Linked DNA regions of Nothobranchius furzeri. The protein of the gene in region 1 interacts with the protein of each later gene in a pairwise test. Links are inferred from orthologs where the notes say so. Each region holds a gene or a part of one and is shown on either strand. Other genes may lie near its edges. The genes, in order: nmt2 and acbd6.

The links.
Region 2: the proteins of nmt2 (region 1) and acbd6 interact in binary tests that used the Homo sapiens proteins (3 or more experiments, as listed by UniProt). The link is inferred for Nothobranchius furzeri from reciprocal best matches to the Homo sapiens genes NMT2 and ACBD6.

Annotation. Positions count from the first base shown.
Region 1 is NC_091745.1:79,247,972-79,252,358, reverse strand, and holds the start of nmt2 (glycylpeptide N-tetradecanoyltransferase 2), read right to left. Parts: upstream 2,837-4,387; 5' UTR 2,615-2,836; coding exon 2,505-2,614; intron 2,212-2,504; coding exon 2,094-2,211; intron 1,619-2,093; coding exon 1,477-1,618; intron 915-1,476; coding exon 796-914; intron 1-795.
Region 2 is NC_091748.1:57,395,853-57,400,148, reverse strand, and holds the start of acbd6 (acyl-CoA-binding domain-containing protein 6), read left to right. Parts: upstream 1-1,399; 5' UTR 1,400-1,613; coding exon 1,614-1,892; intron 1,893-2,088; coding exon 2,089-2,153; intron 2,154-2,585; coding exon 2,586-2,682; intron 2,683-4,296. UniProt on the Homo sapiens protein: Binds long-chain acyl-coenzyme A molecules with a strong preference for unsaturated C18:1-CoA, lower affinity for unsaturated C20:4-CoA, and very weak affinity for saturated C16:0-CoA. Does not bind fatty acids. Plays a role in protein N-myristoylation.

The DNA.
Region 1 (4,387 bases):
TGTTTAGGAACGACCAAATTCAAAGAACTTGTAGAGACATAAATATTTTGCTGAAAATGAACATTACAACAAAAATATGAACAAATTAAATGTTTCAGCTGGCTAGATTGTTGCCGACCCCACCGAGAACCGAACCAGCATCAGCTGAGGGGAAAGCAAAACTTAAGTCAAACGATCTTGCCACTGGACTACCAGAACCCACATGATGCCGTCAAATGTTGTTGTACAGGACTTTTGTTAGAGCGGCTGTGGGCAGATATTCGCTAAAAGAAACCTTTTCATTTCGGGATATATTCAGACTTTGTCATGTAGCAAGTTATATTTACCTTGTTTAATTGGAGCACAGAACATAGCATTAACGACTGTAAACTAGTAACAGCCGTAATTCATGAGAGTCAGGTTAGTTTGCGATAAAGTTGAAAAACAAAAACGGAAGTCAGTGGGCTAGGCTGAGTTTGCGTGAATGGGCGGGGCTGACTCTGGTGCAGCTCCACCTTATGGTGCAGCTCCGCCTTTGTAGGTCTGCAGCGAGCACCCTCTCTCACGGACCGGGATCAAGGGAAAACGATCAACACAGAAGAACAGCTGATAAAGACGCGTCACACAAACACCTGTGACACCTGTGAAGAAGACTGCAGACGACGGTCGAAACGTGTAAAAGGTAACTAGAAACACCTTCACGTCCGAAGCAAGAGAACCTGTTTAATATTTACAAGGAGGACATAATGAACATTGTAAAGGATTGCAAATGTTTACGATTCACACGTGAACATTTAAAACAAGATCTCTACTTACTACATCTGCATTACCGAGGTCCAGCGTGTCCCACATAAAGCCTTGAGGTAAAGAATATGGCTCCTGTCTGATGTTTTCTTTGTCAGCTTCAATCGGCCCGTGAGTCGTCACAACTTCATCTGCAAAAACGGATAACTCGCAGGTAAAATCCTACCGTCCAATCGCAGCACAGAGTCACTCCCGACATGATACAAGTCACACAAAGCGTCTCACTTTTGTAGAAACGTAACAAGAACAAGACAACAGCTGACGGCATCAGCTGGCTGTGTCCACCAGGCCGGCCTGTGACGGGAGACCTGACTCTGGTTGTCATGGAAACGGTTTAATCTGATGCCACCTAGCACTGAAAAACCCAGAGCCCCACTGTATGCCACAGCTGTTGGGATTATGGGATGGACAGTTGAGTGAGCACATAAAACGTATCAAGATGCCGATGAAAGAAATCAGCTGACTGCAAACACAAGGTTACTGAATAAATCCAGCTTTAAAACCAAAGTCTAACAACTGATTTACATTTAAAAGATTTTCTGCTCTTTTTACCTCGTCAAGATGATTCGTTGGAACTTTAAGTGCTATTTCAACGTGTAAAATAGTGATAATAGGGTTAGACAGAAACACACTTTGCCACGGTCCAATAAAAATCGCTGTTTTCCACGCTACTCGGTTTTAGTGGACACTTACTTAACTTTGGGACGGGCTGGGTGTCCCAGAACTGGTACTTGTGCTTGGCTGCCTCATCGACGCTCCTTGCTGGACCCTGGCAGGACAGCAACTCCATGGCTCTTTGGAAGTACTGCATGTTATGAATGGGCAAGCCAGGGTTCTGAGTTTATGAAATTCGTATTTAAAACAAGAGACAAGACTAGTTAATAAACTGAGATGTCAAACGCTTAAACATGAGAATTACAACCGTTCTGCAGAAACCTAAAGGTGTGTTGCCTGTTTAAGAGGACTGACTGCTGCTGGTTCTCTTTCGTGTGTTTGTTATCTTTAATGAGGAAAAAGCAGCTGAAGTGACCTGTCACTCAGACGCCTGCCTCCCTGAAGCTGTCAACAGGAGCTTATAAACAAAACTAAATAAATAAAGATGAATTGCTTTCTTGTTGACTTTGTTTCCATATAATCAGAAGCTCAGGTTTGGCCTCTGACTTTATGAGTGACTAACTTTGTGGTGAGTGGTGTATCTGAATGTGGTTTCACCTCTAAATGACCAGGTGTGTCCTTTAGGCTTTGGCTCGAACCTCACCCCCCACCCACTAATGACAGCTTCCTTTAGGCTCTGGTTGAGATCATCCCACCTTTATCTCCTGAGAATCGGACGCAGAGTCAGATTTGGCTCCCCCCGAGCTGGGCTTCTCTTTTTTCCTCTTCTGTTTCTTCTTCTTCCTCTTGGCCCCCAGGTCTACCCCCGGACTGCTGTAACGACCAACACAAACGCGCAGAGCTAACCCTTAGCTGCCATAGCAACGACTGACAGCTGAGCTACTTGCTGTTAGCCGGGTTTGCCCCAACACCGATGACATTCAGGTTGGACCCTGGCGGCACGTAACACTCACACCGGCTGTTAATAAAATCAAACACACAAAGCCACACACACTCTCAGAACAACACGCCACACTTTAAAGCAGCCTGTTAACCGTTTGGTTACGTTTGTGTCCGCTAACGTTAGCTAGCTAGCTGCGCTAGCCGCTCGGAAAGGCCATCCTCACCCCTGCATTAGCTCGTTCTCCTCCTCGTTGTCCCCGTCTATCCCGCATGTGTCCTGGTCGTCCAGCTCCAGGCTCTGCTGACTGGCCGCGGATTCACTGTCCTCCGCCATGGGAAAAAATGTTTTAAAACAGCGAGCCGCCGTTTGGGAGGGCTCGGACAGCGGGCGAGATGGAAAAAAAACAAAGAAAATGTCGGAGGAAACAGCGCCGCCTGGACGCCATAGGAGGGAACGCAGAGATGAAGTCCGTAGAAGAGTTTTAAAACCAGAATTAGCGCGATTATAATCTCCAGATTTACCTCCAGATTCTATTATTTCTGGGTTCAGGAAAAGTCGACTGAACTTTGAACTTGAGCTTTATTAATGCGAGCTGGTTAACAAACCAACCACGTGATCAAAACAGTGTCATGGTTTGATTTTAACTTGCACAGGTTATGTAACTGCTGTTGCTGTTTATTTCTTCATTTCTTTTGAAAGGTAAAGTCCTTTAGGTTTTTTTAAATCCACAATTTTACACATTCTAAACATTTAAATTAGTCAGAACAAACATAAAAACAAAGCCACAGCGAAGAGGATGTTCAATAAACACCAGAACTAAATGCACTAGATTGACATCCCTTAAAGAGCAAATCATCCTCAAATCAACCGGTTTTTTTTCTGATAAACTATATAAATGCGTGTCTAATCGTGCTGCAGACACGTGTAGTCAATAGTTTTGCACTTTAGTGCATTTTCCGGAACTGCGCTGCTCTGGGTGGCTGCATGTTGGAGTAGCTCTGTTGACTATATGTAAGTTTTGCCTTTTTTGGACATTTTTTCCTCTAGTTTCTCAAAGAAACTGTATCTTTTTGACATTTTACTTTTCTGTTTCTGGTGCTGTGAAGCTTAAGAGGATTTTTACTACAATTTATTCTCTTTTTTCCACTTTTTGAGCATTTGTTATGATGCGTAACCATGGTAACAAACTGGTTTACAATCGGGAGCAGCGCTAAAACGCAAGAAGCGTGGGTGCAGAGCAGGAGCAAAACAGAGACAGAGAAAACGGAAATTCAAACCATCTCTTCCATCGATCATAATGGGCAATGATAAATCAGGTGCTGGTCAGCATCAGAAGCAGGGACCTGAAAAGGCTCAACAGCCTAATAAAAAAGGCTGGTTCTGTTCTGGGGACGACTGTGGAACCGCTGGAGGAGATAATGCAAAGAAGGATTCTCCAGAGAATCAAGAACATGATGGACAACCCTGAGCGTTCTCTTCACAAGACTGTCCGACAACGGAAGAGTGTCTTCAGTCAGAGGCTTCTTCAGTTTGGCTGCAACACTGACCGCTACTGGAGATCCTTCCTGCCAACAGCCATTGTAATATACAACAACTCTTTGATGACTTGATTATTATTATTATTCTGAGCTACTACAGCAATCAATTTCCCTCTGGGATTAATAAAGTATTTTTGAACTGAAATGAGTTAAAATTTTAATTTTTTTGCCCAAAACTGTCAGTGTTGTGCCGTTGCCATGGTAAAAACTCTGCACTGCATTTTAATTTAAATCTACCATTGCAATTAGCTAAGAGGTACCCTAGAATGTTAGCTGGTACCATATGATGTCACAATGTCATTGTGAGCCTGTGTGTGTGTGTCTTTGTTAGCTGCTACACCCTCTCTGCTAGGCAACAGCATTTGTTGCATTTTTCAAACAGGAAGTGGGAGTGGAGTAATACTCTGGTAGGGGGTGACTTGCTGTTTAATTAAAGGAGGGTTTGTGTTTAAAGAGTAATTCACCCCCAAATCAACCTCTTTTTGCTGATAAACTATATAAAGGAGTGTCTAATAGTGCTGTAGTCAATATTTTGGCACTTTAATGCATCCTAGTTAAAATTTAAATA
Region 2 (4,296 bases), on another chromosome or scaffold:
TCTGGCGTCGGCGTTTCAAGGAACACAGTTGTGAGGGCTCGTCATCATAGGGCCAGCAGAACCCCTTTACCCTACGAGCTACACATCAGAGCCTGACTGAAATGTGCCCGTTTGAAAGATTAATATTAGTTTTGGAAGTCTGTCCTTTGGTCTGATGAGTCTAAAGTGGAACTGTTTGGGCAAATGGATGTTGCGTTTGGCAAAGAAAAAGCGAGAGAGTCCTTCAACCATCACAGTTCCCACAGGTAAGCGCAGTGGTGGGAGCATATACTGAGGGGTTGTTTTGCAGGTTTAGGCACAGGGAGCCTTGTTTGGTGTCATGAAACAAGTGTCGTGAAAAAAATCTGAGGAAGAACATGCAGAAATCTGCTTGTAGTCTAGGCTTAGGTCATTGCTGGCTGCTCCAACAAGACAATGACCCAAATAATACATGAATATCCAACAGTTAAGGACATCAAAACCAAGATCCTGACCCACACAGAGCCCTGACCTCAATTCTACTGAGAATCTGTGGTGGGTGCGCAAAGTGAATAAAAGCTTGGAAACCATGTGATTTGAGCCAGCTACAACAAATTGTAAAGGAAGAATGGACCAAAATCTTTATGGAGAGCTGTGCCAACCTAGAAAAGAACTACTCTAAGAGATTGTTGTCAGTTGTGGCTAGAAAGGGGGAACTATTGATAGCCAGGGGCCTAATAATTTTGGATGTCTCATTTCTGCTGTTGCTTGTTTCAACTTTGTGTATCAATAACATTTCCTAATTAAATTTATTGTTTATGTGTATGTACACAAATGTAATGGTGGAGAAGTGCAATGTAAGTAAATAAAAAACAGAGTCCCAATCAAAAGTTTAGGACCACTTGAAAATGGCCAAGAAACATATTTGGCATGGTTGGATCCTAACGAGTTTCCAAGTAGAGATTCATCAACAAGAAAAAATTAAAGAGACAAAGCATTTTTGAGCATGTAATTTATTGAAAACAATGCTTAAACTAAAACAGGCTGTTTTACAGCTGATCAAAAAGTCACACCCCAGCAGACGTAATAATCACAACTCCACACAGAATTTGTTTCCCCTTTAACTGTGTCAAAAAAAATTTAAACAAACCTTCCTCATGAAAGAGCATCAACAGATGTGTGAATGCACATTTTGTATGTGCCATACATGTAAACAGCGTGCTTGATTTTAAGTTATTTTCAGTACATTTCTAGTCAAAATGTTTTGTCTCACTCCCATTTCTTCTTGTTGCAAATTGAAGCTCTGCTTGGAACCTGGTTGGTTTAATATCCAACCATACAAAATATGAATTTAGCCATTTTTCAAGTTGACCTGGATTTGACCTGAAATACGTCACACATCATGGGTGCGTTTATTTGCACAGCTCCGGAACCTTTCTTCTTGGCTAGAGATTGCGCCGACCTCTTTTGATGAAAGGACTAAACACGGACTTACCGTAGAAATGAGTCTGGCATCGATAACGGATTAAAAGCGTTATTAGCAATAATAATAATACTTTTACAAATAAATATCTGACAGCTTCTCTGCGGCTGCTTTCCACTCGGGGATTTCTGGTGGTTGTGGTTTATAGGACAGCGCGTTGTGAACAATAACAATGGCCTCTGGTTCACCCTCGTCCTCCCCGGACACTGCGACGGGCTCGGGTACGGATCCAGCGCGGCCCGATACCGGCGAGCCTCTTGGTGGAGCGGGTTCAGACTCGGACTCGGACTTGGGTTTGAGTAAATTTGATTGTAGTGCCGTGGAGATGACGGAGGAAATGGAGGGAGAGGAACTGGAGCAGGAGTTTGAGTCTGCAGCTGACCGAGTGAGAGACTTGATTCAGACGGCCAGCAGGGACCAGCTGCTGTACCTGTATGCTCGTTTTAAACAGGTGAGTGTCACATTTTCAACACCAGTTTTAACCATACGAGTGTGTCCGTCTGGCGTAGTTAGTGACCCCTAGTGGCTTCAGATGAAACTACAGCCACATACTCTGAAGGAGTGTTTGTTCCAAACATGTTTATAACAGTGATCCAGGTTCAGATGGGACAGCAACCAGATTAATTATGTGTGTGTTTTGTTTTCAGGTCAAAGTAGGGAAGTGCAACACCCCAAAACCTGGTTTCTTTGATTTTGAAGGGCAGAGAAAATGGTATGTTGTTTAAACTCGCTGGCCTCGTTGAAATATAGGAATTAGTTTCTAGTTTATGTATTTTTTAAATTAAATTAGTAGCATGTGCATACAAAAGGGAAAATAATTCCCTCACATGTGAAAATGAAGAGAGTATTTAGTCATATTTTAGCCTGTTGTCTTTTAAAGGACTTATACCCACAAATGTACCCAGATACTTTTACCTGAAATGCAATCATAAAACGGTGTAACAAGTAAAAGTCTTTCTTAAAATGTACCATTATATTCAGATTTTCTTTGGCAGGACCTTTACTTTTCCAATCATTGGTTTTATTGTATTGTGAAAGTTTCCTGACCTTTTAATGGACCTTTTAAGAAAATCTCGGTCCAGATGAAGCCTCACACCCTTGACTGTTGAACAGGATTGTGATGGAGTTTGTGATTTCACCACAGGCTAGCCTGGAAGCAGCTTGGAGACATGGACGCTGAGCAAGCGATGCGAGAGTACATTACCTGTGTCAATGTGTTAGACCCAGAAGGCACCACAAAGGTAGAACCAGAGCTGCTCATTCAAACGTTTTTCTGAAATTTGTTTTAAAAAAGAAATAAATTCCAAATAGTTCAAATCCTCAAAGATATTTGAGAAGTAAAATGTTTTAAGAATAGAACCAAGAGGTTTGATGACCTTTTTAGTATTTTCCTTAAGCCTACCTGATTTAACAATGTGAGGATAATTATTTTAATTAAATCACTTTGTCTGAAACACATGCTGTTCTATTATTGATCTTATGAACCATTGATAAATAAATAATTCTCTCTTTGTAATTTAATCTAATTTAAATTTGGGTTTGCTGTATCACTTCATTACCCTCTGCTGAAGTAGATGGATGTTTAACAGAGATGGGGCCACTAGATGTCAGTGTTACATAGTTGACACCCACATCACCTCGCTTCTCCTCCAGCTTCACTGGCTGCCAGTCAACTTCAGGGTTCGTTTCAAGATCCTGGTTCTGGTCTATAGGGCCTTACATGGACAAGCACCATCTTACATTGGTGATCTTCTTAGTCCCTACACCCCCAGCAGGTCCCTGAGGTCCAGTGATCAAAGCCTACTGGTTGTGCAGCACCAGGCTAAAGACCAAAGGTGACAGATCATTTGCTGCTGTGGCCCCCAGACTCTGGAACTCTCTCCCCCTGAGTCTGAGATCAGTGGACTCAGTGAACTCCTTTAAAAAGCAGCTGAAGACTCACTTGTTCAAGCTCGATTTTGTATGACCTTCTTCACCACTCTCTCTTTATTCTGCTCTCCCCACCTATTCCACCTTCCTCAGGATCCACTGATTTCCCTCTTTCCTATTCACTCTCTCTCTTTCTTAACATTTTTTCTTTTAAGTCCCAATTGCCTATTTTTGCTCATTTTAAATATATTTTAAACATTTTCTAAATGCTTTTTTATATTTTAATATTTTTTTTGTTTTTGTGAAGCGCCTCGTGATTTTTATCTTGAGAGGCGCTATAGAAATTATATTTTCTTCTTCTTCTTGATTTCTTACATTCTTTACGGTCTCAACTTTGAGGTAAATACATCCTAAAAATACCCCCCCAAAATAAATATGCCAAATAAATAAACATACATATATATGGCCCACTTGGGCCAGCTCCTCCGGGGGAATCCTAAGGCGTTCCTTGGCCAGCTGAGAGACAGAGTCCCTCCAGCATGTCCTGGGTCTCCCTTTAGGTCTCCTCCCGATTGGACGTGCCCAGAAAACCTCACCAGGGAGGCGTCCAGGAGGCATCCTAACTAGATGCCACAGCCACCTCAACTGGCTCCTCTTGATATGGAGCAGCAGCGGGTCTACTCCGAGCCCCTCCTGTGGCCCTTTTTCTCATCTCTGGGGATTTCAACCATGCTTCTCCGTCATCTGTTCTGCCCACATTTACGCAGTATGTTACCTGTCCCACCAGAGACAATAAAATACTGGACTTGTTTTATGCCAACACCAACGAAGCATATTCGGCACAGGCAGGCTGTGGCCCCACGTATAGTGAGGAGGTGGACTGATGAGTGTGAGGAGGCTCTCAGGGACTGCTTCAGCACCACGGTGTGGACAGAACTCTGTGATCCACATGGGGAGGACATCAACGCCATCACAGATTGCATCAC